4 linked regions of the Drosophila melanogaster genome follow. The protein of the gene in region 2 interacts with the protein of the main gene of each other region in a pairwise test. Each region holds a gene or a part of one and is shown on either strand. Other genes may lie near its edges. The genes, in order: CG30461, CG31988, Vha68-2 and CG11562.

Region 1 (8,279 bases), on a different chromosome or scaffold from region 2:
ACAAAACCTTAAGTTTCACCTCGCAGCTTTTCAATTTTTCGCACCGTAAGTTCACTGGTAAAAATATTTCGCGAAATTTTAAAATAAAATCATAGTACATTATATTAAACGATTCATCCCTGATGCATATTTTAGGCAACATTTTACGAGATTTAAATGTTTTCTCTTGTATAATTAAGCAACTTACTATCGGCTCATTTTTTAAAATTTAAATTGAAATTTCACTATGTTGCCATATTTTTTTCATACGTGTAGTGAACTTGAGGCGCCACCTTGGCCACATTGCATAACCCCCAAAATTCCAAACTGCATGAGTATATGTGGGGGGTAAATTCATGTATGTGAAAGGAGGTTTATATATGGGGGCAAAGTAATTCGTGCAATTTGCCGGGCGCAAATGGAATCGATAAATTTCGTGTTCCCTCGTGGAAAACACATCCGGAAAAATCCCGAATGAGCGCAGTGAATGGTAATGACAAATCTGCTCTACCTGGGCAATAATTCATATTAATTAGCGAGTGTCAACGGCAGAGAACACATATATTAAACGGCAGTATGTTTTATTTAGGATAATTAGGCTTTTACGTTAAGCTTAATGAATGAGTGTGGAATTTGGTATACAAGTTTTTTATACATACGTAGCATGTTTATTAATCTCTTAGGATTTTCCTAAGACAAATTTGTCCCATTTCCCATTGCATTTCTAAGAGCATGTTTTCATTATAATTAGCTGTATCTTGCATGAGCTCATACCTTTATACTTAACTAATCAAAACCAAAATCGCACCAACCAATACAACTTGACCCGTAGTTTAGGCCTATGATATTAAAGGGTAACCCATTTGGAAAATTTCAAGATAGTCTAAGCAAATCTTAAAAAAAACTGTTTTGCTACACACATTTGTTTATGGATTTAGCATACTTCGTAATTAAATTTAGTTTATTCCTTTTGTACGTTATCCAAACACTTTTATTTATGTAGGAAAAAGTATGCTAAATCTTATTTATAAATACTATTTTATGTGGAACATGCATATAAACAAAACTTGTTGGATAATATTATATTGAGGATTGCAATTTATATCCACAGGGCGCCACAAAGTTGACCAAAGAGGATATTGAAAAAGTATTCTCACTCTACGATCGTGTAAGTAAAGCAAAAGACTAAGGAATATATATAAAGATGTAAAATCTAATATGATATCATTACAGGACAATAGCGGCACCATTGAAAATGAGGAGCTCAAAGGCTTCTTGAAGGACCTTTTGGAGTTGGTCAAGAAGGTGAGTGTCGCTCTTAAAGACAAATGAAATAAAATGTTAATATTGTGTGGTTGCCAGGACGACTATGATGCCCAGGATCTGGCCGCTTTCGAGGAGACCATCATGCGGGGAGTTGGCACCGACAAGCATGGAAAGATCTCCCGGAAAGAACTGACCATGATTCTGCTAACACTGGCCAAAATATCGCCCGACGACGAGGAGTAAGCCGGATGTTCGAGAACATACCAAAAAGAGATTTTAGCCAACTCTATTTTTGTCACCCGAACGCGGGAAATCCAGAAATGAGGCCAAAATGGGCTTCAAGGCAATTGTTTACTTTAGAGCTGCATTAAAAGGGGCAGCAAATAAACAAAAAAATAAAAGGATATTGGAATCGGGGATGAATCCTGAGAGATTCAAACCGAAACGAAGCTATTGGTATAAAATAAATCTAATATAAATGTTCAAATCTTAAATAAATGTTTATCGTACGTTAAGATATTGAGAGTATATATTTCCCCCAAAATCAAACCAAAACGGAAATTTATCCAGTCAAACAATTTGCAACACAGAATCGAGCCACTTAAAGTAAAAAATTAAGAAATGATAACAACAAGATCAGTACATCGATTTTATATTATACTATATATGTATTTATATTTTCTATGTGTATTTGCATAACGTACTTTATTTAATTACCAATTAAAATCGAAATAAATGTAGCTATTTTTAAGGATACCACATTTATTTGAGACTACCTAAGTAAAAACATATGTGTGGCTACAATCTGTAGATAATTGTTGTTAATCATTGTGACAGTACACCCTAAAAGTGGGCGGCTGCATTCCGCGCCCAACTCCCCGCACTTGTGCTATGAATATCCCCCGCAAGCATCAATCAATCAATCAAGAGGCACTTACATCAGCCCGAGGGTGGACGCCACTAATGCAGGTGAATGCAAATGCAAATGCAAATGCATCCGCCACCTGAACGTGACAATGTCAAGCTGGAGGGTGGTGATGCATCCAGTTAATGTTGGACACGCACTCGTCCTTGTATTTTTTTCACCCGAGGGGAGATTACGAGGTGCAGATTGACGCCGTTTTAAGGCTAAAATTTTCACCCAATTTCGCAACATAGGCAAATTGGTTATTTAACCTCTAAACAAAAACCTAAAGTTAACCAACAACGCTACGAACTATCTAATGTTCTTTCAAGGTGCTATAGCTATATATATACATTATGACTTGTTTCGATACGTATTCCCTTCTCCATCTGTTATCATTGTATTCTTTCGAAACCTAACTAACTAAATAACTAACAACTAATAACTTAAGCTTTAAAACCAAGACAAATTGTTCCAATCCTGAAACGCTCTTTGCCCAAAGATTCACTTTTAGAGCCATAGTCATGAAATAGATCAATTCCATCGCCTTTAAAAATGAAACCCTGAGTAAAGATGCCATGCAACAAAATGCCAACTTATCATATAAATATACTAATTACGATACAACACTATATGATAACATACTTATGCTAATCCTAAGATATTGTTCAAAACCACATGCATGTAAAGCTTCGAAACGGACTTTCTCTATATGAAACAAGATACCAAATATCGAATATCTAAATGGATATATGTCTAACACTATGGAAATACAGCAGAAATGTTTTAATAAAATAAATACAATACAATCTATGCAGACATCAAGGGGTCAGCACTCCAAAAGTAGTCTTTTGATTTCCTTATTTTTTTTTCTATACACACAGGCGTTTGTATTTCCGATTGAGTTTCTCCTGGAGCTCTAGAAGATCATTCAGTTTCTTCAGCATATCAGTGGCATCAAGCACTTTCTCGGTTAACACGGCTAAGGGGGAAGAACAATCCTTAAATGTTTTCTCCTGTTCCACTTCCGAGTCAACGAGACAGTTGACAATGTCCATCGTTTTCTTGATTCGCGAACAGAAGCTATGGTGGAACTTTATAGGTAACCACTAATAACATTAGATACAAGGTAGTTACCACTTGGCATCCGTCATTCGATTACTGAGAATAAGCTGCCAGGCCATGCAGCTCTGCAAGTGCCAGGAACAATAGCAAATGCCCAGAGTCTCCGTGATGGGATCCTTCCATTCCTTGATGACCGCACACTGAGCTGGAGGAAACCGCACCTTCTCCACCAGCCAAGTGTGCCAGATAATCGTCTTCCTGTTCTTAAATTCCGCGTTCATTTGCTCGGAGTCCAGACGCTTGCTTCCGAAATGTCGCTCCAGAAACGAGGTTGCCTCCTTTTGAGAATCATGGGGATTCGGTTTACTAATCGGCCCCACTTCCATCATGCCATTTTGAAAGTTCAGCCACGAGGGATTCGCGCAGAAGGATCGTGTTGTAGCATCTGCATAAGTAAGAAAAGTTTCGCTAATGGATTTTATTTGGAGAGCACTGAATTCGGAAATTAATAATGTAAATGTAATGAATCGAAACTTCTTAAATCTCGCACTTTAATATATTCTGTATTAACTTCTGCATACTTTAGAACTTCCTCAAAGATTTAATTTTACATAAAAGAAAAAAGGAGAAGGACCCTATAAGAGCTTGAGAAATTCCCTTGAAGGATCCTTCAACCCAGTTTCCTCCTTCGGAATTTGCAAAACTCACCCACTGCCGACGCTGACCACCAATTTGGAGATAGTTTCACAGCGGGGCGTAGCAATTTGTTTTCGAGTCATGGTAACACGGTCAATTTTACAGGATATCTCGAAAAACGTACAAAATCAAACGAATGTATAGGTCGGCGACTACTGAGATTAATAGGTTCCGGCATTCATGGCCTTCACATCCAGTTTCTGCTGATAGGCCAGTCTCTGAAGAATCGTGGGATGAGTGTGATGCCATCGAGCATAGCATTGGTCGTAGACCGGAAAACTCATATGATCCGCATAGATCTTAACCAGCGCCATCCTCAGTTGGATGGAGTATCCCATGCGATGGGCAAATTTATCGGCGGCATACTCAAAGCGACGCAGATTCCACAGCATCAAGACATTGGCCAACGTGAGATAAGGAGTAAGGGCAAATTTCAGAACAATGATGAAACCCACTATGATGGGCATAACGCCAGGCTCGAAACCCACTGCCATGTATAGCTGGGGAGAGTGAAAGAACAATCCGAAGAGTCCCATGGTGATAAAGAAGTGAATCTTCATGATGATCGTAGCCTTGTAGAAATGTCCGTGCTTCCAGTGACCCAACTCATGGCACACCACTCCCGCCACCTGGATGTTGGTCAGACCTCTGCCCACCTCATAGGGATGGATCTCATTGGGTTCCTTGCCCTTGTTCAATAGCAAGGTATCAAAAATTACAATTCTTTTCAGGCAGCAGCTCCCGTAAAAGTAGGCATTACTATACTGCATTGTCCGGGTCTTTATGATAAATACCCTCTTCATGGGGAAGCCAACCACATCGCAAACACGCTTCACCTCCATATAGAGGGCAGTGCCCTCTGGTAAAACCACCTGTCGTCCAATGCACGGAATGCAGCAGTAGGGCAAAAAAAATACCAGCAACAGGGTGAACGTAGCCCAGAACAGCCAGAACCAAAGGAAGAAGTAGTACCCAATGAACTTTACGCTGAACACAATGGCCGCCGCCAACGGGAACAGGACGAGCTGGCTTAGGAGAATGGACATTGCTCCAATGCAGCAGTAGAGGTACCAAGGAAACTTGCCCGACATCCCATATCGCAACTCCAGCAGGCACTTGTCATAGATCAGAACCGGCAGGAACCTTATACAAATGTAAATGGTCAGGTAGAAAACAAAGATCAAGGTTATCCAGATCTCTTGGGAGGTTATTTTCTGTAGAGTCTTCGCAGACAAGCTCCAGAGGAATGGATAGAAGCCCAATATCAGCTCACAGAGCGTAATAATCAAGTCGATGAGGTACTTCCATATCTGTAGCTCCGTTTTATGCAGCTCGTAGATGCGGGCCCGATGGTAAATCTCCGGCGGAATGATTCCTCTCAGCTCCTCCGGCACCATAATCGCATTCAGGCACACCAATTGCTGGTGAAAGAAATCCGCGATCAGTTCTTCATGGGTGGAACAACCAATCCACTACTTACCTGCCTCTTGGTGAGTATCATCTCCCATATCCGGTCAACTAACACGATCAGACATAACACCACCAGCACTATGATTGGATCTACTTTCGGCCAAGTATCGTAGAATGCCATCAAAACTTATCATGTTCCCCCAACAAACAATGTTTACTTATTGTAAAATATTGTATATATCTATATTACCCAAGACGGATAACTCAATCAGAAGCTACTATGTTTGAGAAACACCGATAAAAAATATATCGCCTATCGTCGAAATTCTTCCAGACGACTCAACCGATCCAGCATGGTGGGATGCGTATGATTCCAGCTGGAGTAGCAAGGATCCGAAACGGGGAATGCCAGATTATCCGCATATAGTTTGAGCAGTGCTTGTCGAAGTTCTCCTCCATATCCGAGCTGGTAGGCAAACCTATCCGCCTGGTACTCAAAGCAACGCGTCATGCTAAGCATACTGAAGTTCGCCAGTGTCATGTATGGAGTCAGTACAAAGCCGAAGATTATTAAGCATCCAATGACTGTCGGCTGGAGACCGGGAGGGAATCCCACCGCCTGGTAAATGGGCCCATGAGAAAACAGAAACGCGAACAGCAGGATCGTCAGTATGAGATGGACTTGGAACGCCATGATAGCTTTGTAAAAATGTCCATTCCTCCAGTGACCCAGTTCGTGGGCCACCACAGCAACCACCTGAGGATCCGCAAGTCCCCTACCCAGCTCCTCTGCCGTCAGGTGGGAGAGATCTGACTTGCCTCTATTGAGCAGCAATGTATCGAAGATCACAATTCTTTTCAGGCAGCAGCATCCGTAGAAAAAGGCATTACTTCCCGTGTTAGGGTCATGCACCCGGATGATGCGCACCTGACTCATGGGAAAGCCGACTTGTCGCGTAAGGTACTCCAGTTGGGTGCGCAAGTTTGAGTTTTCCAGGGGTACACTTTGGCCCACAAATGGATGGATCATAAATGGAATCAAGAGGAGTACGATCATTGTCAGGATCAGCGATTGAAGGTACAAGCCCAGGGGAGCATATGGCCCCAAGCCGATAAACATGTACACGAGGGCGACCACCACCAAGGTGGTAATCATCGCTCCCACAACCAGGTCAACGACAAAGTGACAGATGCGGGACCACCACGGTGGTTTTGGCCTGGGTTGCAAGCTCTTGATGCAACAGCTCTCGTAGATCATGGCCGGTACGCTTTTAAGCCAAAAATACACGCTCAGGAGAAGCACAAAGATCACGGATACGCAAGCCTCATGCTCCATCCACTTGGACAAGGCGCACTTTCCAGCCACTCCATACAGCCAGGCATAGAAGCCGAAGTATAGTTCCATAATACCCAATATAACTGCCGAAAGCAGGGTGTTGACAATGGTGAACCAGCCCTTGTGAATCTTGTAGACGCGCATCTTGTCGTAGAGCTCCTGTGGTAGATAGGGGCTGATAACATTCGGTACTTGTTGCGTTTTGTAGGCCACTTGTATCTGAAAGAGCAATTTAATCCAAAATGTACTCGAAAGATGTAATCATCACTTACGTCCCGCAGCATCAGATATACGCCCCATAGATTGTCCAGAACCAAGAAAGCTATGATTATGTAGAGTATTGCTAGTGGATCATCCCAGAAATGTGCAGACATGTTGGGTTCCTCTGACAACGGCTTGACATGTTAGTCATATTTCCTTAATTTTGAAGCTCCGTTAGGAAATCATTTTGAATCTATTGGTGACGGATTTTTAACTACTAGCTTACATGTTTTGGGAATCACATAAGATACACGTTTCCACATTGCAAAATCTTAAATAGCTTGTTGGGGTAAGTCCCCTTACTTTATTTTGTGTACGTTAAATCAAAGGGAATAGTGTAAACTTTGGTCTTATGTGAAGTGAGCTGTCTTAGTTCAGTTTCTTCTCTTCCTTGAGCTCCTTGAGTCGATTCAGGCGCTGGAGAAGAGTCGGATGTGAGTGGTTCCAAGTCGAGTACAGCCAATCGTAAACGGGGAAGCCAAGGTTGTCAACGTTCAGTTTTATGAGGGCCTGACCCAACTGCTCAGCGAATCCCAACTTGAAAGCGAACTCATCAGCCTGATACTCGAATCGTCGCGACAAAATTGTCATGGCGAAGTTCATGAGGGCATTGTATGGCGCGAGTACGTAGGTAAAGACGATTAGCAAACCGACGAGAATGGGCCGAGTACCAGGTTGGAATCCCATGGCCACGTAGAATGGTGGATACTTGAAGACATTTCCAAAGACCAGGAACATCAGAAAGAGATGAACCTGCATGATAATAATGTTCTTGGTAACGTGTCCCAGTTTCCAGTGTCCCAGCTCGTGTCCCAAAACAGCCAGCACCTCCTCGTCGGTGCAACCCTTTCCCTTTTCTTCCTCTGACAACTCGGAGTCGTCCGGTTTACCTTTGTTTAGCAGCAGCGTGTCGAATAGCACGATCCTCTTCGAGTTCCAGAGGCCATAGAAGTAGGCATTGCTGTGCGAGGAGCGCTTGGATCCCTCCACCACGAAAAGCTTAGTGAGCGGGAACTTGAGCGATGCGGCCAGATCCTCAATCGATTGCCTCAGAGCACCCTTCTCCAGCGGAGTATACTTGTCGAACAGGGGAGCAATGAAAATCGGATACAAAGTGAGTAGAACCAGCGAGATAACGCCTGTGAAGATCCACAGCCATATGAAAAAGTTGTCGCCGCCGCGTTGCACGATGAAGATAATAGCCGCTGTGATGGGAATCATGAGGACCTGGGTGACTAGGAAGCCTTTGAGCTGATCCCAGGCGAAGAATCTCGCTGTTTGTTTGTTAAAGCCATGCGTCTCCTCCAGCACGAATATCTTGTAGATCTTGAAGGGCAGTCCCTTGAAAGTGCTCAATACATT
Region 2 (7,006 bases):
AACTGACTTTTAATGGGGCTGCGGTCCTGGCCCAAATCAAAGTTCAATGCGCCGTGTGTCTCGTACATGTATCCTGTGTCCTGTATGTTCCCCGGATGCATAATTAAATCGTCGCGTAATTGATTGCAACTCCGTTTCTGTCATCTGACCTGCTCCTCCTCTTGTTACGGTTTGAACGTTACAATTATACATACGTTTCCTATTTTGATTTAAATTCAAACAAACATACATTAGCCATGTTCCACGGGAACTCAAAGTTGTGAGCTTTAAGACAAACTATACGTCCTGAAACCAATGCTATATAGTTGTCTCACTTAAATATGTACATATGTATGTACGTATCGCTGCATCAGAAAACTTTTTAAGTCTATTTGTGGTAAAAAAAAATATATTTGAGTTTTAATTGAAGGCAATTTTTGTAAATATTCCTACGTTCCTGTGGGTGCGCTAATTTTGTACATCAATGACAGTTCTTGGTCATCGGCGGTCAGCACCGACATATGTCCGCTGATAAATATGTATGTACCTATGTACCTAAGTATCAAATGTACATATGTACATAAATTCATATGCAAGAGACGTCGCTGTTTCGAATCCTTCTTGGGAAAACCAAAATAAGTTGCATAACAAACAGGAATGACATACATACAACAAGTAATCGTACCTATGTAACATGAGTACCAACACGCCCAACCATTGCACGGTATGCTGATATAACGGCTTTCGGAGGAAGCAAGTAAGCGTGCCCAACAAAAAACAAGAGAGAATTTAATAGTCGAGTTCCCCATTACCCGTTTCTCAGCCAGTGTGAATGCGAACGCAAAATTTAATCATTTTTCTGGGATATCGATAGATATTGGAGAATAATATGAGGAAAAAAAATGGCAAAAGTGTAGGCGTGACCGGTTTGCCGGCTTTAAGGGGTTAGAGTGGGCGTGGAAAAAATATGGTTTGCAAATCGATAGAAATTTAAGCAACTAATACAATTGTGTATAAATGAATCTCATCCTTCTAGCTTTTATAGTTCCTGAGATCTCGACGCTCATATGGACAGACGGACATGACCAGATCGACTAGGTTATAGATCCTTATCAAAAGATACATACATACATATGTACTTTAACGCTTCCTTCTGCCTGTTACATACTTTTCTACGAATCTAGTAAACAAGAGAGAACGCTATACTCGATTTCCTCTTCTATCTGATTCCCTGCTAGAGTATTATTGCTCCCAAGATCTCAACGTTCAATCGGTCATAAAGACGGCGGTGTCCAGATCGATTCGTCTAGTGATCCTTATTACAAGTGTCGTTTCATAAATTATTTGTGCTTTAACACAATCCAAGGAACTGCCAAAATTATGCAGCTAATTTAAAAGCTATAACCGGAGTTGCCCAAATTACCCATTAACTCACGTATTGTTTATCTCCACAAAAGCAACATATTCTAGTCACAAAATCTTCTGACTACTAACGGCATTATGAACTAGGTGCCATTTTTGTGGATTTTTTCGGCTCATTCCTCTTTTGGCCTAATCTAATCTTGCGACTAATTAAATGTACTCACACGAATAAAACCACCCGAGTGCAGTTGAGAAACCCAAATAAATTATTGTGGGTCATGCAAGAGCGTTTGCAATTACGAGTTGGCTTGAAGGACATATTTATGTGGCCCCAAAGGAGCAACTCTTTGAACTTGTCCCACAAACGTGCCAAAATATAATGTTGCGCCACTCTGCGCAATTAGAAAGTGCGCGAACTGGATGCAATTATCGGTTAAACATGGGAAATTCTTAGTAGTACTCAATATAAATAATTACGAGCAGCTCAACCTATATTCGGGGCTGGGAATTTGGATCTGTATTTGGATGAGGATGTGGATGGCATACGAGCACTCTTTGGCATACGCAGACAGACGCCTGACACAAATTCCCATCCGACTTACACAACTAGCTCGCCCGTCCGACTGGTGCTGCAATTTCAAATTCCATGCACCGCATCAAAGCGCAAACCAAATTGTGACATGTCCTCCGCCGATGACTCCCGAGCGCCACCAGGAGCTCCACACCCCCACCCCCGTTGCGTAGCGACCGCACACATTGCTGTGCTCCACCGAGTGGCCTTCAATAGGGAACAAAAGATGTTCCACAGGCACACGAAAAAACTTATACTTAAGTTATACAATAGTTCAGGGTTTGTGGGTAATTACTCCACGATATATTATTCAATAATTCTCTAAATCATTTTGAATAAGTTAATACAGACCTACTCAGCTCACACTTTTAAAAAAACTCATACAGAAACACGAAAGTAGCTAAGACTGTATAGAATACTTTCAATTTTATTACACAAGTTACTCGTAGAGTAAAAGGGTATACTAGACTCGTTGAAAAGTATGTAACAGGCAGAAGGAAGCGTTTCCAACCTTACAAAGTATATATATTCTTGATCAAAATCAATAGTGGAGTCGATGTAGCCATGTCCGTCTGTACGTATGAACGTCGAGATCTCAGGAACTATAAATGATAGAAGGATGAGATTCAGCACACAGATTTAAGAGACAAGTTTTTGGCCCATGTTGCCACGCCCATTCTAACGCCTACATACCGCACAAAACTGTCACTCCCACACTTTTGAAAAACGTGTTGATATTTTTTCATTTTTTATATTTTTATTTTCTATCAATTTGCATAAAAACTTTTTGCCACGCCCACATTTTTGAGAAACCTTTCGATATAATATTTTCATATTTCGACTTGCCAAACAACTTGTTTCTCTTGTTTTTTTAATAATTGGATGTTTTAGTAATATTTCTTTCAGCGAATTCATTTTTTCGAAGTGCATGATCCACGATGAAAGAGGCAACGACGACCCTTCTGGCGAGTCGTTTGGGTGGATGAGTCCTTTAAAGGAGTAGCCACCACCCCAGCCCTTGTTAATTGCCGGCTATGCGGAAGTTTCGCAGGATTTTTGCTTTAATTAAATTTTGTATAATAAATTGGGAAACATTCTAGCAGCGCCTTCAAGGAAATGCCGCCCCTTTGCTTGGAGAAATCACCCTTGAAAGTGGAAGACCTCCCTTATTATTATCCTTTTACCCATTTATTAATGGTTTTTGGTGTGACTAATTCTTATACTCGAATATGTATAAGTGACTAAAGTATGTTTATAACTTTCGGTAAGGAGATAAAATTATGTTAAAGAAATCACAAGCATATTGCCATCTATTTAGGCAATTAACCTTTTGATACAAATTTAAACAGTAGTCACAGTAACATAGAAAGCCTAGAAAGGAAAATCAAATACTTTACAGTCCAGTAGGCGATGCTTGTACATTTTCTAGATGTCAAAACATACCCCCAGCGTTTCCATCGAATATCTCATTCAGTTTTTGAGTCTTGCTAAATTCATACGTTTTCATTCGTTTCGTTTTCTATAGTTATTTGAATAAAAACATCAAAATTTTTCAAAAAAAAAAAAAAACAGTATCAAAATTTTGTCCAAGTCCGTATTGCTTCTTTTTGTTCTCCCATTTTGTGTGAACCATCTAGAAGAAAGTAAAGTAAAAACGGTGGCCCTGTGAAAATTGTTTTGATATATGAGAAGAGTACGATAACGAATTCAGAAAAAAACATTGCGAAAAGAAAGAGGAAGTAGTGAAACAGGCGCCAAACCCAGTAAGAAATACATCCCATCTTGAAATTAGTACAGAATTATAATTTCTCTCATTGATATTTGCGTTGCCTATCCAGCTTTCATTGTTTCTTTCAATAAATCGATAATCAATAGCAACCCTGTTTTGTACATGCGTATTAACAAACACATTTTTTTTTTGCAGTTACCAATCGAGAAGCCAAAATGACTGAGAGCATTGTGTGTCACAAGTGCCAGGAGGCCATCACCAAGCGTATGATCACCGCCCTGGGCAAGACGTGGCACCCGGAGCACTTCCTGTGCCACCACTGCGATGAGCAGATCCTGGATGCCACCTTCAATGTTCAGAGCGGAGAACCAGTGTGCAACAAGTGCTTCGTGGAGCGGTACACCTACACCTGTGCCGGCTGCAAGAAGCCGATCCTTGAAAAAACCATCTGCGCCATGGGGGAGAGCTGGCACGAAGATTGCTTTTGCTGCGGCGGTGCCTGCAAAAAGCCGCTCGCCAATCAAACGTTCTATGAGCGCGACGGCAAGCCCTATTGCAAAAAGGATTACGAGGACCTCTTTGCTGCCAGGTGCGCCAAGTGCGAGAAGCCTATAACGGACTCAGCGGTGCTCGCCATGAACGTGAAGTGGCATCGCGATTGCTTCCGGTGCAACAAGTGCGAGAATCCTATAACCTCGCAGACTTTCACCATCGACGGGGACAAGCCCGTGTGCCCCGCCTGCAATTGCTAACATCGTCCCGGATAACCATGGTGCATCCTTGCTCTTCCTCCAAATTGTTCATTTGCTTGCTTACAATAATGTTGAAATAGTTCCCGAAGCTTAGTAAGCCTAGAGGCATGCAAGAAAACAGACTTACACATTTAACACACAAACTTAATACACACACAAACACTAAATAAAAATAAAAAACAAATATGTTAAGTCTCTGTATTGGGGTAGACAGGTATACCCTAAGATTTGCCTTAGTGGTGTTGGTCACCCAAAATAACATTCTGATTACTGTGAGATAAGGTCGAGCAAGCCCTTTCCAATATGTTGCAGCCTTTCGTTAAATAACAAGCTTTTGGCAGCACTTTAAATAATGAATTATTTAATTTTAAAAACAAAAATTGAAGAGCTTTAAAAAATCTTTCCGTTAAGATCGCAGTACAACTGCCTTATCGATTCTTCTCGATATGAAGTGGTGGCCGTCTCTTGGCGTAGTCACGAATCGGTTACGCAGATGTGTAATCTAGATAAATATGGAATTAATACAAAAAAATTAAGAACAAGATAGAATTTTACATACGAGTTCCCCGACTATCAGATAACGGTTACTCAGCTGGTGTGAATGCAAAAGCGAAATTTAATAATTTTTCTGGGATATCGATAGAAAAAAATGAGTAAAAATTGTTTAAAAATGTGGGCGTTACTGTTTTGGGAGTTTTTAAGGTGAAAGGAGTGGCGTGTCCACAGTGCTTTTGGTATACATATAAAAATTGCCAAGACAAACAATAAAACGAAGAAAAATCTAAACATTTTTCAAAAGTGCGTGGCAGTTTTTGGCTTTAGGGCGTTTGAGTGGGCGTGGCAGAAAGTTTTTTTTGGCAAATCGATAGGAATTTCCAAGACTAATAAAAATATCAACAGTTTTCAAAAGTGTAGGCGTAGCAATTTAGTGCGGTTTTAGGGCGTGGCAAAAAGTTATGGAATTATGAAGAAATAATTTTCAAAATTTCTAAAATGTTAGCGTAGCAGTTATGGGCGGTTTTACGGCGTTAGAGTAGACGTGGCAAAAAGTTTTTTTGCAAATTGATAAAAAATGAAATGTAAAAAAATATCAAGACTTTTTTAAAAGTGTGGGAGTGGCCGTTTTTTGCGGCTTGTGGGCGTGGCAGCATGGGCCAACAAACTTGCGCTGCATCGTTGTCTCTAGAATTTGTATGCTGAATCTCATACGAACAGACGGGCATGGCTAGATCGACTCGGCAATTGATCCTGATCAAGAATATATATACTTTGTATGTTCGGAAACGCTTCCTTCTGCCTGTTACATACTTTTTAACGAATCTAGTATACCCTTATTATACCCGTTATTGCTTGTTGTTGTGCTCCCATTTTGTGTGAAACATCTAATAGAAAGTAAAGTAACAACGGTGGCCCTGTGACAACTGTTTTGATATATGAGAACAGTACAATTACGAACTAGGAAAAACACACTGCGAAAAGAGGAAGTAGTGAAACAGGCGACAAACCCAGTAAGAAATACACCCAATCTTAAAATAAGTACAGAATTATAATTTGTCTCATTAATATTTGCGTTGCCCAGTGTTTATCGTTCCATAGCCATCTTCCGTTGTTTCTTTCAATAAAATAATCGATAGCTGCCCTGTTTTGTACATTTTGTATTTTAACCTCAATTTACGATATATACGAGCAATTCAATCAAAAAAGAGTAATTGAACAATCCCTTGGTAATGCGCATTAAAAATCATTTTTTATTAGCAGTTACCAATCGAGAAGCCAAAATGACTGAGAGCATTGTGTGTCACAAGTGCCAGGAGGCCATCACCAAGCGTATGATCACCGCCCTGGGCAAGACGTGGCACCCGGAGCACTTCCTGTGCCACCACTGCGATGAGCAGATCCTGGATGCCACCTTCAATGTTCAGAGCGGAGAACCAGTGTGCAACAAGTGCTTCGTGGAGCGGTACACCTACACCTGTGCCGGCTGCAAGAAGCCGATCCTTGAAAAAACCATCTGCGCCATGGGGGAGAGGTGGCACGAAGCTTGCTTTTGCTGCGGCGGTGCCTGCAAGAAGCCGCTCGCCAGTCAAACGTTCTATGAGCGCGACGGCAAGCCCTATTGCAAACAGGATTACGAGAACCTCTTTGCTGCCAGGTGCGCCAAGTGCGAGAAGCCTATAACGGACTCAGCGGTGCTCGCCATGAACGTGAAGTGGCATCGCAATTGCTTCCAGTGCAACAAATGCGAGAATCCTATAACCTCGCAGACTTTTACCATCGACGGGGACAAGCCCGTGTGCCCCGCCTGCAATTGCTAACATCGTCCCGGACCCATGATCTTACTCCAAATTGTTTAGTTCCTTTCTTACACTAATGTTGAAATAGTTCCCGATGCTTATGAAGCCTAGAGGCATGAAAGAAATCAGACCCACACATTTGACCACACTTAACATTTCGCACACGCACACACTAAATAAAAATAAATATGTAAAGTCTCTGTATTGGGGTGGCCAGGTAAACCCTTTTATCGTTAAGATTTGCCTAAGACCAACAACACCCACAACAACATACTGATTACTGCGAGATAAACTAGAACGCAAGCCCTTTCCCAATTTT
Region 3 (9,613 bases), 8.2 Mb from region 2:
TCGCCCAGCTTGGGATCAATGAACTTCATGGTGGAGAGCTCGTACAGAATGTTAGCGGCTTTTATACGGATCAAGCCCCAAGTTACACGCGCCTCATTGTCCGCCGTGTTCTGCACCGACAGGATCGCCGCATCATAGAAGGTCATCATGTTCTTCAGCATGCCAATGGTCTTGAAGAAGGGGCAGTAGGCATCGTACTGACTGTAGGAGTTCTGCTGCAGGAAATCGTCCTTCAGCATCTTGGCCACCTCAAGGGTGATCTTGTCCTCCTCGTTCAACGACGACTTGCCCACCAGTTGGACAATTTCCGCCAGGTCATCCTCCTCCTGCAGCACCTTCTTGGCCTTAGCTCGCAGATGCGTAAACTCCGGATTGGATTCCTCGTAGTAAGTGTCCAAAGTGCGCATGTACTTGGAGTACGATTGCAGCCAGTTCACCGATGGAAAGTGTTTCCTCTGGGCCAGCTTCTTGTCCAGACCCCAAAAGACCTGAACGATGCTCAGGGTGGCGGAGGTCACGGGATCAGAGAAGTCGCCACCGGGAGGCGACACAGCTCCCACAATGGACACGGATCCCTCACGATCTGGACTGCCCAGGCACTTCACCAGTCCGGCTCTCTCGTAGAAGGAGGCCAGCCGAGCTCCCAAGTAAGCCGGATAGCCAGCATCGGCAGGCATCTCGGCCAGACGTCCGGAAATCTCACGCAGCGCCTCCGCCCATCGAGATGTGGAGTCCGCCATCATGGACACATGGTAGCCCATGTCGCGGAAGTATTCCGAGAGGGTGATGCCCGTGTAGATCGAGGCTTCTCGGGCAGCCACCGGCATATTGGAGGTATTGGCCACCAGGGCAGTCCGCTTCATAATCGATTCCATGGTGCCATTGACCTCAACCTCAAGCTGCGGAAAGTCCCGAAGAACCTCGGACATTTCGTTCCCGCGCTCACCGCAGCCCACGTAGATGATGACATCTGAGTTGGAGTATTTGGACAGGGCCTAGGGGTATAAGTTGATTGGAATGTAATCATTTGTCAACTAAACTCTTAGAAACCCTCTCACCTGTGAGATGACGGTCTTTCCACATCCAAACGCTCCTGGAATGGCAGTGGTTCCGCCCTGGACACATGGAAAGAAGGCGTCCAGGACGCGCTGGCCAGTCAAGAGTGGTGAATTGCTGGGGAGCTTATCCTCCACCGGACGACACCTCCGTACGGGCCACACCTGGAGCATGGTGTGCTTGGTGATCTCGTCGTTGAACTCCGTCTCCACGATCACCTCGTCCACGCAGTAGTTCCCGGGCGGGGCCAACCACCGGATGCGCCCCTTGGTGCGGGGCGGTAGTATCAGGCGGTGATCGTGCATCATGCTGTTTTCGAAAACAGATCCGTAGATGTCTCCGCCGGTGATCAGAGCATCGATCTTCAATTTTCCGGGTGTGAATTCGTACGCAATGTTCCTGGGCAGGGAGGGCGTATCGATGCCCTTGGGCACGTATATGGAGTTGGTTAGTTCACTGATGGACCTCAATGGTCGCTGGATACCATCGAAAATGCTGCCCATGATGCCGGGTCCCAATTCCACGGAGAGCGGCTTTCCCGTCTGGTAGACGGGATCACCCACGCTCACACCCGAAGTATCCTCGTAAACCTGAATGGTGGCCATATCACCCTCCAGTCGAATGATCTCACCAACAAGCTGGGAGTGTCCAACGCGAACCAGCTCGTACATGGCTGCGCCGGCCATCTCCTCGGCATTGACCACCGGACCGGAGACTCCGAAAATGCGACCCATCGTCGCCTCCTCCTCTTCTTCATCCGACGAATATTTGTGCGTATCAACCACCTGCTCGATCACAAAACCCGAGTCCTCATTCTTCTCCAAGGCGATGTGAGCGCTCTTGTGGGATTGGTCCGTCGAACGTCTCAAGTCCTTCAAACTGTCCTCGTCATTGACTGTATCATGGGGACTTTCCGGCTCGGCTACAGGCTTGCGTGATTGAGGGGGAGGGGGTACCGGATTGGATTTATGGTCATTACGTTGGCAAGCGCAGGTTGGACATGTGCACTTCTTAGCCGGAACCGTTGGGTGAGGCACGGACCTTGGCTCCCCATCTTGGTTTAACGATCCCGAGTTGCGGGCTCTGTCTTCGTTACTTGCGTTACTGTTGGTGAACGAGGTAAGCGGTGCAACCCAGGACTTCTTTTCCATTTGGTTTAAATATATACAATTTTTTCACTTGGTACAATTTTTACTAATATTGTCAAATAAATAAAATAAATGGGGCAGAAGTTTATGGAAAGACTAAGGTGATGACTGAGAATGATATAGGATTTTAGATTATGCTTTTCAATATATTCCCATTTTCTTAGCTTTCATATAGTCAAGTATGTTTATATAATGAAGGTTTAAAATTCAAAAAAATATTTTAACTTATTATCTTTTTATCGAGTTGACACATTTTTAATATCCATTCTGCTGCCAGTGAAATTCACTTTCAATTACATTAAATGTATTTGTTGTTGCACTTTATTCGTACATTTAATATTTCATACTTTAAATATTTACATAAATTTAACAAACAAACAGGGAGAAAACATGACTTTTTTCACAAATAAACAAGAATTTCCATTCATTAAACAATAATACTATTTATGCATGCATTTGTATTTGTGTCTTTTATGTATGTGTTGTGTGTGCGCCAGTGTCCGTGTACTTTTATTCAAGTGTATGTTGGTGTTGTTGTTGTAAATGGAAGTACATAGCAGGACGTTGTAGTTGCTGTTGCCTAGAGTTGCCCTTCAAGGGGCGGAGGGGGCGTGGTTAGGGGAAAGTATTAACCGCAGGCCGGAATGTTTACATCTCTCGCAGGCACCAAGAAGTTGTGGTATTTGTTGGACTTTTGTTTTTCATCGAATGCAGCACGGAATTGTTGGTGTTTGATTAGGCTTTTTCGGATGGTTTTTGACTGCTTTCATTTTTAAACGTTAACTATATAACAAATATAAGATTAGAGTGTAAAAGTAGGGCCAGCGCGGTCTCTAGTCCTCCAGATTTCTGAAGGCCTGCTGCAGGTCCTCGTGCAGCTGCTCGAAGTCAGCCTTGATCTTGGCCTCACCATCCTTAACGGGGTCCTGAAATGGATTGAAAAATGTGGTCACCCAGTGTCTAGGCAATGGATAAATTTGCGTGTTAACCCACCTTGAACTTCATGGATGACAGCTGGTACATAATGTTGCCCATTGCCTCACGAATCACGTTCCAGGTGATCTTGTTCTCAGACTGAGCCGTAGACTCCACGGAGTGACGGGCCATGTCGTAGAAGTCGATGATGTTCCTCAACATGCCCACGGTCTTGTAGAAGGGGCAGAAGCGATCGTACGAGGAGTAGGAGTTCTGCTGCAGGAAATCGTCCTTCAGCAGCTTGGCCACCTCCAGCGTGATCTTGTCGGTTTCGGCCAGAGAGGCCTTGCCGACCAGTTGCACGATCTCAGACAGATCCTCCTCCTCCTGCAGGATCTCCTTGACCTTGGTACGCAGCGGCACGAATTCGGGGAAGTTCTTGTCATAGAAGTCATCCAGAGCACGCATGTACTTCGAGTAGGAGATGAGCCAGTTGATCGAGGGGAAGTGCTTGCGCTGGGCCAACTTCTTGTCGAGACCCCAGAACACCTGCACGATACCCAGAGTGGCGGAGGTCACGGGATCGGAGAAGTCACCACCAGGAGGAGACACAGCTCCGACAATGGACACGGATCCCTCGCGCTCGGGGTTACCCAAGCACTTAACGCGACCGGCACGCTCGTAGAAGGAGGCCAGACGGGCTCCCAAGTAGGCTGGGTAGCCGGAATCGGCAGGCATCTCAGCGAGACGACCAGAAATTTCACGAAGAGCCTCAGCCCAACGGGAGGTGGAATCAGCCATCATGGACACGTTGTAACCCATATCACGGAAGTATTCGGACAAGGTGATACCAGTGTAGATGGAGGCCTCACGAGCAGCCACAGGCATGTTGGAGGTGTTGGCCACAAGGGCGGTACGCTTCATGATGGACTCGGTGACACCGTCGATCTCCACGGACAGCTCGGGGAAGTCACGCAGTACCTCAGACATCTCGTTACCACGCTCACCGCAACCGACGTAGATGATGACATCGGAGTTGGAGTACTTGGACAGAGCCTGCAAGCAAGTAAATGATTTATTAGGGATTGTATTTTTATGAAACTTGAGTGTATGGAGGCTACACGAGGCATCGCTCCTTAAATTCTCAATTTGTGGGACTCTCACCTGCGAGATCACAGTCTTGCCGCAACCGAAAGCTCCGGGAATGGCGGTGGTACCGCCCTGGACACAGGGGAAGAGCGAGTCGAGCACACGCTGTCCGGTGAGCAGGGGGTGGTTGGCGGGCAGCTTCTCGGTCACGGGACGTGGCTGACGCACTGGCCACACCTGCAACATGGTGTGCTTGGTGATCTCTCCATCGAACTCGGTCTCCAGGACGACATCGTCGACCTTGTAGTTGCCGGAGGGGGCGATGTAGCGCACTGTTCCCTTGGCGCGGGGGTTCACAATCATCTTGTGCTTGACCAGAGTGTTCTCATGCACCAGACCGTACAGGTCACCTCCGGTGATGTGGGAGCCGACCTTGACGTTCAGGGGGTTGAACTCCCAGCTGGCCACGCGGGACAAACTGGGCACGTTCACACCCTTGGGGATGTAGATGGATTCGGTCAGCTCGTTAATGTCCTTCAGGGGACGCTGGATACCGTCAAAGATGCTGCCCATGATACCGGGTCCCAGCTCCACGGAAAGAGGCTTGCCGGTACGCAGCACCGGATCTCCGACAGTTACGCCAGAGGTCTCCTCGTACACCTGGATGGTGGCCATGTCACCCTCCAGACGGATGATCTCGCCCACCAGCTCGTAGTAGCCGACGCGGACCAACTCGTACATAGCTGATCCAGACATGGCCTCGGCGGTGACGACTGGAATGAAGCGGTTGGTCGGGTTAGGGGGGCTACATTTCATTCAAGAAGTTTTTATAACTCAGCAAACGAAGATAGGTTCCATTGAACATTTTCTTTTAAAATTTTTTATTATTAATGATACTTGATGATGTTTTTGTTAGAATTATAGAAAAAAGTTTAAAGAAACAATTAATTAATTATTAAAATTATTCACATTTAATTTTGAATAATGAAACCAAAATGTTTGAGTTGTTTGAATATTAATCACAAATAGGTGGACACATTTCTAAAGTTGCCATTATTTCACACAGAAGTGTAAGTTCTAGACTAATCATCAAAGTAAGGTTTCCAGTTCACAGGTATTATTAACTTATTTTTATTAACTTTTAGATAGCATGAGTTATGGTTAGTCAGTATAGTTAGGTGCTTACCAGGACCGGAGACAGCGAAGACACGTCCATATTTGGACTCACGCTCCTCATCATCGAAACGCTTAAGGTTGGACATTTTGCTTTATTCTGTTTTTTCGACTGCAATGGAGGGAAAATAGAAGAGGAAAATTGTTAAATGCTGGCTGCAAAAGGGCGAAGATAAAGGTGAACATTTTCTTATCACTAATTTCTTGCTCAGCCCTCTGTCAGCTGACAAGGGGCAGGTGTATCTGCTACATTTACAGGTTAAGTTTTTGTAGAGCCCACAGCTCCCAAATTTTTCGATTATAGGTTATAAAGTTGTAGGTTAGCAGCTAATAATTTCGATTGATTTAATTATTTTTTTTTTAACTCCCCCTCTTTGATTATGCTGCGTAAAACTTTAAAAGCAGAGCTTTCGTTTCACGTGACAGAGCTTTGAAAGTTCGAAGAGAGCAATTTGTCAAACTAATCGCTAAATAAATAAAATAAGAGCTGTGAAAAAACAACCACAGGTTGACAAATTCAACGGAGGAATGTAACTGAAATGCATGTTTTTCAAAATATGCGGGTTTTCATAATTATCAGCAAAGAAAAACAAGAGAGGGTGGAGTGGGAGAGCAACTCTCCGCTCTGGCTCTCTCGCTCTCCATTCGAGTTCGAATATTTGACAATTGCTTTTGACGTTGATCACAAGACTACTGTCATTGCCGTCAGCTGACAAATGAAAAAAAAGTGGGTAAGGGAAATGGTAAAAATCTTTGGGCCGCCTTTTTTACGTCGCTCGTTCTCCATATTGGTTTTTCATTATCGGAATACGAATAACTCCCACTTCTGTTTCGAGTTTCGAAATGGGAGAGCAAGCGAGCGCAAGAGCGGCGGCGATCACAAGACCCGCGGTGCGACAGGGATGGAGCGAACACGGGGAAGGGGGTCAGCTGACAAGGCAAAATAATTTTCCACGCGCAAATTTTCACGTTTTCATACCGCACTTTTTCAAGCTCCTTGGAAAACTAATTGATATTCGGCTTTTTTAGGGATTATTTTACTCAAGTGTGGACTTGTGCTGCACTTATTATCTAACACACTTGCAGTCTGTGTGCGTGTTTTCGCTCTGCGCTTTGATCGCTGCTTCGTCACTTTTTCGGGGCGAATTCAAGACGGATTTCAATGCCGCTTTCTTTCGCTAATTGTTTAAATCGCCCAGAACCGTCTTCCAGCCATTCCATTATTTATTGTTACTTATTTGCTTTGGGTGGGTGTGTGTGTTGGTGGGGGGGAAGGGCTTACTTTGCTGTGTCTTCGCGTTCACCTTGCGAACGTGTGATTGCTGCTTTTCTCCAACAGAACGAACTAAAACCGACTGAGCCGCAGAAATAAAACGTCGACGCTCGCACTTCGAAAAGCTCTCTACCGCGATTCGATTTCGATTTCGACCCGTGTGATCGCGAGCTTTCCGCGGCGAGCTTGCAAGCGAAGTTGTGAGCTGATATCGAGTGCGAGCGAAGCTTTCGCCAATCGATGTGCGGAAGCGAGATGGAGCGAAAGAGAGCTAAAGAGCGGGTGGGGTCACACTGGCTTAAAGAAGTTCGTGGGTTGATTCTGAAGTTTTGGGAGTAAACGGGATCTTTTCAAAGTTGCTAATATCCAATTATTTTAAGTCCATTTTAAGTCCTCGATGATCAATCGGTCCAAATTAAACAATCATTTTCTTAGCTGCTTATAAAATCAATAATTAATTTGACACTGTATAAACGAGGAATATATAGCTTAAATACAAAACCTGCCATTGTATAGTGTTAAGTGCTCTCAATAAAAATGGCAATCAATTAGATTCCCATTTAAATGTCCAAAAAATGCAATTTTAAACTAATCAATTGTGGAAATTGGCCGGTGCGAGGGTAGACTAATAAGTTCACTAAAGCGCAACAACACGCCGTTAGCAATTATTTTAAAATGTTTATTTATCGTCGTTTCCCCTTTTTTTTTTATTACCATTTTAAGTAAAAAAAAGAAACTGACAGCGGTGGCAAAAACTTTGATTAAAATCCGCATCGTAAAAAGGTATTTGCCAATGATTTAAGTTTTTGCTGCCCTGCCCCTTTGTTTTTTATCCATTATTCTATCTTCCGTTCTTCTAGTTAGGATTCCACGCTTTCCCCACTTTTTTTTTGTGCTGTAGTAATCAATGAGAATGGAGCAGCGAAAAAGTTAAGATTAACCCGATCAGATTGTTTTTATGCTCTTGCGAATATACTTTTTTAACATAAAATAAATAGCACAATATGCAGCGATTATCAGATTTCTTTAAGTGGATTCTCCTTATTTAAAGAGGAAAACGAATGTGCTAATTGAAAATATTGAGAAATTCGCATAACCAAACTATATGTTTATAAGAAGTTTAATGTTTATATAACTTAACCATTTAATTTGTTTTTTATTATATTATTATCTTAGATATTTTACATGTGAGTGTAACAACATAATTGTACTTCTTTTAAATCATAATATGGCTAGAAAACCTCATTTAAATATTTTAGTTCTTGAGTCCATGCTAGTTTTTTTTTCAGTGTCGCTGCACTCAGCTTGATTTAGCTAAATTTTCGGATTGCAGTCAGCAAAAGTGGCAACTACAACGCAAAGCCATGCTAACATAGAAGTCGAACAGCGAAAGCCTCTATGTTCCCGAGATGCGAAGGATACGAAGGACACGCCAGGGGCAGAGGGTAGGTGTGTGAGTTCTGGCTCCCGCTCTTTGCATAACTTATAAATCGATGACGTTGGCAGGCAGCGAGAGCGCATCTCGAGTCGCAGCATTTGCATAATAAGGCAGCAGTGCATGTGGCATGAGGATCTGCCTGCGATTCATTGCAAATTTCTATCAGCCCTGTGAACGGGGATTCCCCTCACTGCAGATGTATGCGTATGTGTGTGAGAGTGTGTGTGTGTGAGTGATTGAGTGACTGAGTGTTTCGGATTCTGATTCGGTGTCAAAATGGCGCAGAAAAGTGCTCGACTGACTCTGCTGAGTGCAGAGCGCCAAAGTGGAATGAATTTGACACATCGAAACTGGGATATGCACCCTTATCCACTCGATTCCTGGGCCACTTTCCAGTGTTTTTCATAGTATGTCAGTGTCCTGGATAAAATCTTTGTCGTGTTTATCACAAATATGTATGCATTGAAATCAGCATTTTTGGCAACATTTTAGTGTGAAAAACTTCTAAGATGTATTCTTGTAGCATCGAAAACTTCGATTGTTAGACCATTTCATTAAACAGAAATGCAATTCTATTTCCAAAAAGCCATATACATATATTCGAAAACTATTGGTTCAGTTAGGCATTAAATGAAATTATCATAATTTAGCGTTCTACTGGCTTCCGTTCGCTGATTTTGATTCATTTTTGAGCTTCAGGCTGTACTAACTTTTGCTCACAAATCTGCATATCATATGTATGTATATATATATTTGTAATAACTTTATGCTCGCTGAGAGATATTTCGACTGCTATCTGCTTGTTTGGCTCGACCTCCATATAGATACATATATGGATAACTGTATACATTAAGTCATAACTTCATTTGGCGGCCATGGGCATTCATTTAGTTTATGTCTGTGCAACTCGGGCGGTACGCGAGTCCCCCTTCACATCGCCGCCCATCTCGATAAATTCATTTGGGTCTTGTTAGGAAGGCTCGGAACCGCCAGCACCGCCAGCAGCCATTGGCCATTGGCTAATCTTGTTGCGCATTGCCATAATTTTCAATTTACATGCACCCAGTGAGACCGACCACCCCCCTCCCAAATTGCCACCCACCTCCTCCCGCTTGGCACCAACAAACGGGAGCTATCCGGCGAGTCAGTCCGGGCGTAATATTGGTCACAATAAATTGACTGCAATGGCACTACCATGTGTGTGTGTGTGTGTGTGTGTGTGCCGAATGTGGGTGTGAGTGTGTGCACTAGAAAATATTTAATACTCAGACATTTATTTATTTAAATTTTATGGTGGAAAGTGGATAGTTGCAGTAAAAGTTTCGTTGAATGCATTATAAATACCATATGAAATTGCGCACATATTATCAGTTTAGTGATTTTCTTATCTAAAAGATAACACGAGCTGCTTATCAGCTCAATGGTACTTAAAAATATGTAGATATCATTAAAGTGAATAGTGCGGAGTGGTAATGATAGACTTGTATGTTTTGAATGCACATTTTAAATATTTGACATATA
Region 4 (6,376 bases), about 21 Mb from region 2:
ATTTTTCTAGTCAAATGAAAAATAAGTCCTCAGGCTTTTAAGTGCATTAATATTTAAATATTTGAAATTAATATTTAAAATGTTAGCATATTTTAAAACATTTAAATTAAGAACAGAGGTATCGAAAAACGATGCTGCCAAAAACACTAAATATCGATAACTAATCATCGATTTTATTTGCAACTCTAGATTCGAGGCTGGCAACGCCGTGCAAAATACGACCAGACGCTGCTTTTTTCGGTTTCCGAAAATAATTGAAAATTATCACTAAATAAACAGGCGGCTAACATAATTGCAGTTTGACCGCGTTGCAGAGACAAGCGGGTAGATAAGTTACACATTTTGGCCACAGCAACACCACAGTAAAGCCGCCAGCATGGCCGAGTACTTGGCATCCATTTTTGGCACGGAAAAGGACAAGTAAGTCGCATGGCACATTTATTTTAACGTTGCCGGGATTAATAACTAAATGGCGTTGCATTTCCCAGGGTGAACTGTTCGTTCTACTTCAAGATCGGCGCCTGCCGCCACGGCGACCGGTGCTCTCGCATCCACAACAAACCCACTTTCTCGCAGACGGTGCTTCTCCAAAATCTATACGTGAACCCCCAAAACTCCGCCAAATCCGCGGATGGCTCCCATCTGGTGGCCAACGTCTCCGACGAGGAGATGCAAGAACACTACGACAATTTTTTCGAGGACGTGTTCGTAGAGTGCGAGGACAAGTACGGGGAAATCGAGGAGATGAACGTGTGCGACAACCTAGGCGACCATCTGGTCGGCAATGTGTACATCAAATTCCGTAACGAGGCTGATGCGGAAAAGGCGGCAAACGATTTGAACAACCGGTGGTTCGGTGGTCGACCGGTGTACTCGGAACTATCGCCGGTGACCGACTTCCGCGAGGCTTGCTGTCGGCAGTACGAGATGGGCGAATGTACCCGCTCCGGCTTCTGCAACTTCATGCACTTGAAGCCCATCTCGCGTGAGCTGCGAAGGTACCTCTACTCCCGCCGCCGTCGTGCCCGCTCCCGTTCCCGATCCCCTGGACGCCGTCGCGGCTCCCGCAGCAGGTCCCGATCCCCGGGTCGAAGAGGAGGCGGCAGAGGCGACGGTGTCGGCGGAGGAAACTACTTGAACAACGAGCGGGACAACATGCGTGGCAATGATCGCGGAAACGATCGCGATCGCCGCAAAGGTGGTGGCGGAGGAGGCGGTGGTGGTGGTGGACGGTATTAAATATTCTGGACATTTTTTCTGTACGGTGGCAATTGAGAGAGAAAGCAACGGACAAGCAGTAACGCAAAGCATCGTGTATTTTAGTCTCTGCGTTGGTTTTCCACGTTTTTATATCACTTTTGAGTAAACGAGATGGAAGGAGGAGGAGGAAAATGACGATGGGGAGTTCCACCACCTATGTACAAACCCCCCGCGAAATATTTTACCGAGCGCCCATTAGAATTGTAATTTACTATACATACATTCATAATAATAAAATTGAGTAATATTATACTGGAAGCCATAGTAAGAAATGGGTCTAATTGTCAAAAAGTCCAGGCACTCAAAATAAAAGACTCCTCACAGGTATGGATAACATCCAGAAGACACCACCCCTTGTTAGGCCTGCAGTCTTATTTCGCTTTGTAAGATTGAATCTTACCACGTTGTTTTAATTATATTTCCATGCGCAGATGGCTTCACCAACTGAAAACGATCAACAGCGTAAATGATGCTGTCAACTGTCTTAAGACGAAATCTTAAAATCTTCAAAAATGCGTACATTTGAACAACGAAATTCTTGTTTTCCCCGACTTAGTCTTAGATTTTAATAGGTGCATATTTAGGGGCATATTTGTGATCAAGCTATGTCAGTTGGCGGGCTTCCATCGTGATTAGTCGTTCCACCCTGAGGAACACCTCTGAAAGCCTCGCCTTCATTTTGCACTGCTGGCTTCTCCGCTTGAAGATTACTCTGTGCGCGATGCGTCGATGGAGGTACGGGCGTGTCAGAGGAGTTGCTAGACGCCTCCCTGGCTTTCAGTTGCTTGGTCATGTCTATTTGCTGCTGCAGCGTGTAGGTATTCTCGTGTTTGCGCCGTTGTTGCTGCTCAACGTCCCTCAGGACACCATCGTGCAGTCTCAGGCTGGAAGTTAGAGATCGGAGGCTATAACTTTATTCCGGAGTATTTGGCTTACTTACCGGTCTGCCGATTGTTTATAGTGCACATAACCTATGATCGCTGTGGAAATGGAGACCGCCAGTCCCAAAGTCACTCGCGAAGCGGTCGACATGACTGGGCACCGGTCTGCCGCTGGAGATTTCCGCCTAAAATGCCTGCACTAGGAATTTGGCTGTCGGGTTGTGTTGTTTTGAAGTCGGTTCGGGTTACGACATGACTTTAAATTTGAAAGAAAAACAACAGCACCACACAGCTGACAAGAGAGTGGCCAGTTTACGGAAGCAAAGTTTTCCCTATCCAGAGTTAGTGCGCGGGAAAATCAAATTAATTCCCTTCAAATCAGCGCAACACTTTTGGGGGTCCTAAAGCCAATTGCAGTTAGAAAATCTCAGACTATTGAAAACTTGAAGCTTTAGACGAAAATACAATTTCGAAGTGATGTATATAATAGCGATTTCCGTATCTAGTATCTACATACATATGTACTACAGAACTTCTAGCCTTTATCAATGACTTTTTATTTAGGTTTTTTATACTTTTATCTACAGCTATGACGCAGTGCCTAAAAATAAAAGCAGATGCTTATCTCTCCGCAAAGATATCTTTTTAGTTATGCCTGCATTGTTTCGACTCATCTGGTTACTCACTAAGCAACATACATCTTAATGGGTGGGGGCGATTCATTCAGGTGATTGGCCATCATTAACCCATAATGGAGCCCACACTCCCGAATCCGGAATGCGAAGCCCGGAGTCCGTCTTCCGTGGTCGGTGGTCCGGACATGCGCAGCACGCACCTGATGCGAGCGACTGGAGGAACGACACCACAAAACCGAGGCAGAGACAGAAGCAACAGCCAAGTACAATGGAAACGAGTACAAAAGGCAGGAGGCAACACGGCGTATGGGCAACAGTGCGACTCCAGTTTTCCATACGCTCAGTTGTGCCCGCGGTCAAGGGAAAATCGCAGCCGAGCACTTCCTCCGAGCGAAGCCAAAAAGAAATCAAGAAAATACTTAGCGTGCGTGTGCCGGGGACCTGGTGATTTGTTCAGAGTGTGGAAATCAAACGAAAGGCAATCAACAATTGTTTTTAAGGGCCATAAAAACCATTAAGTTATTAACATAACCGATTTATAAACAAGAGCCACGGGGATCTTCTTCCAGGGCGGTCAAGATTTTCAAGATTTTTTCAAGATATTCCTGGCCAACTTTAGGTTCCATTAATATTTATGTCGGTGACGCAAATATTGATTTAAATTTGTGCGCGCTTTGAGTTGACGAAAGCGAGGTGTTTTGACTCAAGAGCTAAAACACCTTGACGACGATTTTAATTCACTTCTTTCGCCCCACCGCAAAGCACAGACAAAAACAATACACCAATTTTTCTTTTAAAATTGAAGAAAAATTTATTTTCAGTTTATCAAGGGATAGTAGTTCTAAATGGTTTCTTTCTTTCTTTGCCTAAAAAAAAGTTTTATACTTAGCACTTTGTACTACATGAAAATTTCACAATTGTTGATTTAGATATATAATTAAATTATGCACTGTATATGGAACACTGAAATGTAGCGAATTAGAACTTGAGGAACATATTGCAAAATTTTTCTGCCCGTGTAACGTGAAGTCTCCTTTGGCTTTTCCTGTGTAGGATCTTTGAAAAATCCACAAGATGACCAAAGTTGAGCTATACAAGTCGCGCGTCTTTGTGACAATCATACACCTGTGTGCACTCGGCCAATTCGCCTATGGACTCTACTACAGCTCCTTCGAGATCCAAAGGAGCTACAAACTGAAGACGAGCCTCAATCGCCGCCTGGTTCCCGAATCGCTGCCCCAGAAAATCAAATTGCTGTCCTACTGGTCGCTGGTAAGTTAATTTACGGCGTGCCCATCGAAAGCGCCACAAAGATACAGAGATACATATGTGAGAAATTATGGGAAATTAAAAAACAAGACGGAAATGCGGCCAGCATCGGTTGTTTCAAGTGTTGAGCTCGAGACCAGAAAAATCAGCGAAGGAAAAATTATTTATATTCTAGGCCCGTATGCCGATGTTCGGGTTTATGTGTGCCATATGTTTGTTTATTTGTTTGTCTGTTCGCTGGGGATCGCCCCCTTTCCCCTTCGATTTTCTCTTACTTGCACGCTCTTTTTATCGGCCAGGCGGGGTCAACAACTGTGGAATACGGAGGAGTATCCGCCAGATACGGGAGCTGTGCTCGCCGAATTTCCTCATTCGCGCTGCACTTTTCCCTGATGGCAATGCACATTCCGTGTGGGAAAGCGTTTTTCGGCATTTTCTCGCCCCAAGTGTTTATTTGCTCAGATGTTCGCGGTTTTCCAGATTTTTGATTCCACTTCTTGACGAATGCGAGATTATCTGATGGGCGCCAATGTAAATGTGCCATACGTGGCAGTTGGCTTCGATTTGGTATTCTGCTATTCGGTGCTTCTGACGCCTCATTTACATATCGTTAAATTGTTAGAAAATCGATGGATTATTGCATTTTTCTCGCAGCTCCTTGGCAACTGGCACAAGCGAATGTTTCATTGTTGAATTGGTGAACGAATTTCATTTCGAATGGGTAAATAAATATGTCTTGAATTTCGGCCCACAGAAAAAAAAAGAAAAAATGTATTAAATAAGGAAATTAACGTCACTTAAGAGAAATTGTACTTGTAATTGAAGAAAAATGTATGCTGCCACAAATCTGGTTTTAAAATGGGCTATAAAATACATACATATATATAACGAGTCCACTTCTGATGTTATCTCCATACATTTTTCTCAACTTGACAATATTTCTGCTCAATCTCTTTAAGATATGACCCAGAAATGAAGATATTTTTGCATTAATTGCATTTATTCAAGAGAAGGAATTGTGCTCTTTTTTGATACGATGCTTTTACATATGTACATATTTCCACACCACGGCTTTCCATTTCCGTGCGTCTTTCCAGGAACATCTTAGTTTGTTATTGCATGACCTTGCTCGCCCTTGATTAACGCCGTCTGTCCCGCAAAAAGTACTTTGATCTGGTCAGCATAAAGTGCTTTATATCTACAGATCTTTTTCTTTTATGTAGTCCCTTGAAACGATCACGAGAACTTTTCGGTGCCACTACCATCCGGTTCATTATTTTCGTTGTCGAATTTTTACCTTTCTTCTGGTCTTCTGGGCATCTTAAAAATCTGGTGTGCTGAAATTGTTTATATCGGCGCAATCAAAATACAAATAAACTAACTATGTTCTGACAAACAATTGCATTGTTGAAGCAAACGTGAAATTATCTGTGTACGCTTTTTGCCAAATTCTCTTCGATTCGAAACAATTTATTAGTAAAATATATTTAAAGAAAAGATTTAGGTTTCGATCCACTAATAGGATTAGCTGTGTTTAGAATAAAAAAAAAATATATATATATAAGCAAAATCTTTGTGGAGAATATAAAGCATGAATTCCATGCTTTTCCAAATGTCATTTACAAACACAATATACATATACAAACTCCATTTATATTTTTATAAACATTGAAAAGTAACTATAAGTAACATAAGAACATGTTCCCAAAAATGATAGGGTATGAGTTGTCCCCATCAGCCTGATTTCCCTTACATCTGCTGTCCATCACCCCTGTGTTTATTTGCTCTCGTTGGTTCCAATTCTGATTGTTATCCGCCCCCAAATAAGAGGCAACATCATCGAATGGAATTCTCCGAACGTTTCAGATTTAGTTTAGAGTTCACTGAGTTTCCACGATGGGTTTGCATTGGCAATGGCTGATCTGGGCATTGGTGGGGCTCCATGTGGCACTGGCCACCAAGTGGTATGGCGGTGGAATGGACTTCAATGATCCCACCGCCTGGCTAGATGACCACTTGCCTTGTGCACAGGATTTGGTCGTTTTTCCAGAGTACTACCCAGCTCTGCTGCCCTTGCCCGAGGACATATCCATTGATGGCTTGGTTTTCCCCAGAGAAGGGGCGATCCTTTTGGCAGAGGAATCCACCATTACCTTTGGATCTGATAAGCAGCCCTCCTGTGAGAGCGATGAGAATAAGGCCTATTTGAAGCCACCGAAGTCGAGTAAATGGTTCGATCCTGGCACCTGGACGGACAAATCTAAGGAATTTTCCACATTCACACCAGAGCTGGAGAGGATTCCCTGTGATGACGAGCAGGTCATAATCAAG

The links.
Region 1: the proteins of CG31988 (region 2) and CG30461 interact in a two-hybrid assay, tested with the Drosophila melanogaster proteins (one large-scale study listed by BioGRID).
Region 3: the proteins of CG31988 (region 2) and Vha68-2 interact in a two-hybrid assay, tested with the Drosophila melanogaster proteins (one large-scale study listed by BioGRID).
Region 4: the proteins of CG31988 (region 2) and CG11562 interact in a two-hybrid assay, tested with the Drosophila melanogaster proteins (one large-scale study listed by BioGRID).

Annotation. Positions count from the first base shown.
Region 1 is NT_033778.4:16,993,070-17,001,348, forward strand, and holds CG30461 (uncharacterized protein), read right to left. Parts: upstream 5,526-8,279; 5' UTR 5,502-5,525; coding exon of another isoform or gene 5,391-5,501; intron 5,332-5,390; coding exon of another isoform or gene 4,072-5,331; 5' UTR 3,994-4,071; coding exon 3,923-3,993; exon of another isoform or gene 3,751-3,922; intron 3,683-3,750; coding exon 3,287-3,682; intron 3,233-3,286; coding exon 3,022-3,232; 3' UTR 2,922-3,021; downstream 1-2,921. Other genes in the region: Cbp53E (calbindin 53E), read left to right, coding at 1,091-1,147, 1,213-1,284, 1,342-1,488; ste24c prenyl protease type I, read right to left, coding at 4,072-5,331, 5,391-5,501; ste24b prenyl protease type I, read right to left, coding at 5,634-6,875, 6,929-7,030; ste24a (prenyl protease type I), read right to left, coding at 7,287-8,279.
Region 2 is NT_033779.5:21,199,103-21,206,108, reverse strand, and holds CG31988 (uncharacterized protein), read left to right. Parts: upstream 1-3,306; 5' UTR 3,307-3,675; intron 3,676-3,836; 5' UTR 3,837-3,856; coding exon 3,857-4,393; 3' UTR 4,394-4,616; downstream 4,617-7,006. Other genes in the region: CG31624 (uncharacterized protein), read left to right, coding at 6,172-6,708.
Region 3 is NT_033779.5:12,971,494-12,981,106, reverse strand, and holds Vha68-2 (vacuolar H[+] ATPase 68 kDa subunit 2), read right to left. Parts: upstream 6,786-9,613; 5' UTR 6,664-6,785; intron 6,486-6,663; exon of another isoform or gene 6,361-6,485; intron 5,922-6,360; exon of another isoform or gene 5,884-5,921; intron 5,706-5,883; exon of another isoform or gene 5,638-5,705; intron 5,494-5,637; 5' UTR 5,471-5,493; coding exon 5,395-5,470; intron 4,982-5,394; coding exon 4,284-4,981; intron 4,176-4,283; coding exon 3,198-4,175; intron 3,131-3,197; coding exon 3,038-3,130; 3' UTR 2,500-3,037; downstream 1-2,499. Other genes in the region: Vha68-3 (vacuolar H[+] ATPase 68kD subunit 3), read right to left, coding at 1-995, 1,059-2,207. UniProt on the Drosophila melanogaster protein: Catalytic subunit of the V1 complex of vacuolar(H+)-ATPase (V-ATPase), a multisubunit enzyme composed of a peripheral complex (V1) that hydrolyzes ATP and a membrane integral complex (V0) that translocates protons.
Region 4 is NT_033779.5:288,485-294,860, reverse strand, and holds CG11562 (uncharacterized protein), read right to left. Parts: upstream 2,443-6,376; 5' UTR 2,293-2,442; coding exon 2,201-2,292; intron 2,145-2,200; coding exon 1,859-2,144; 3' UTR 1,639-1,858; downstream 1-1,638. Other genes in the region: U2af38 (U2 small nuclear riboprotein auxiliary factor 38), read left to right, coding at 377-420, 489-1,239; amnionless, read left to right, coding at 5,942-6,376.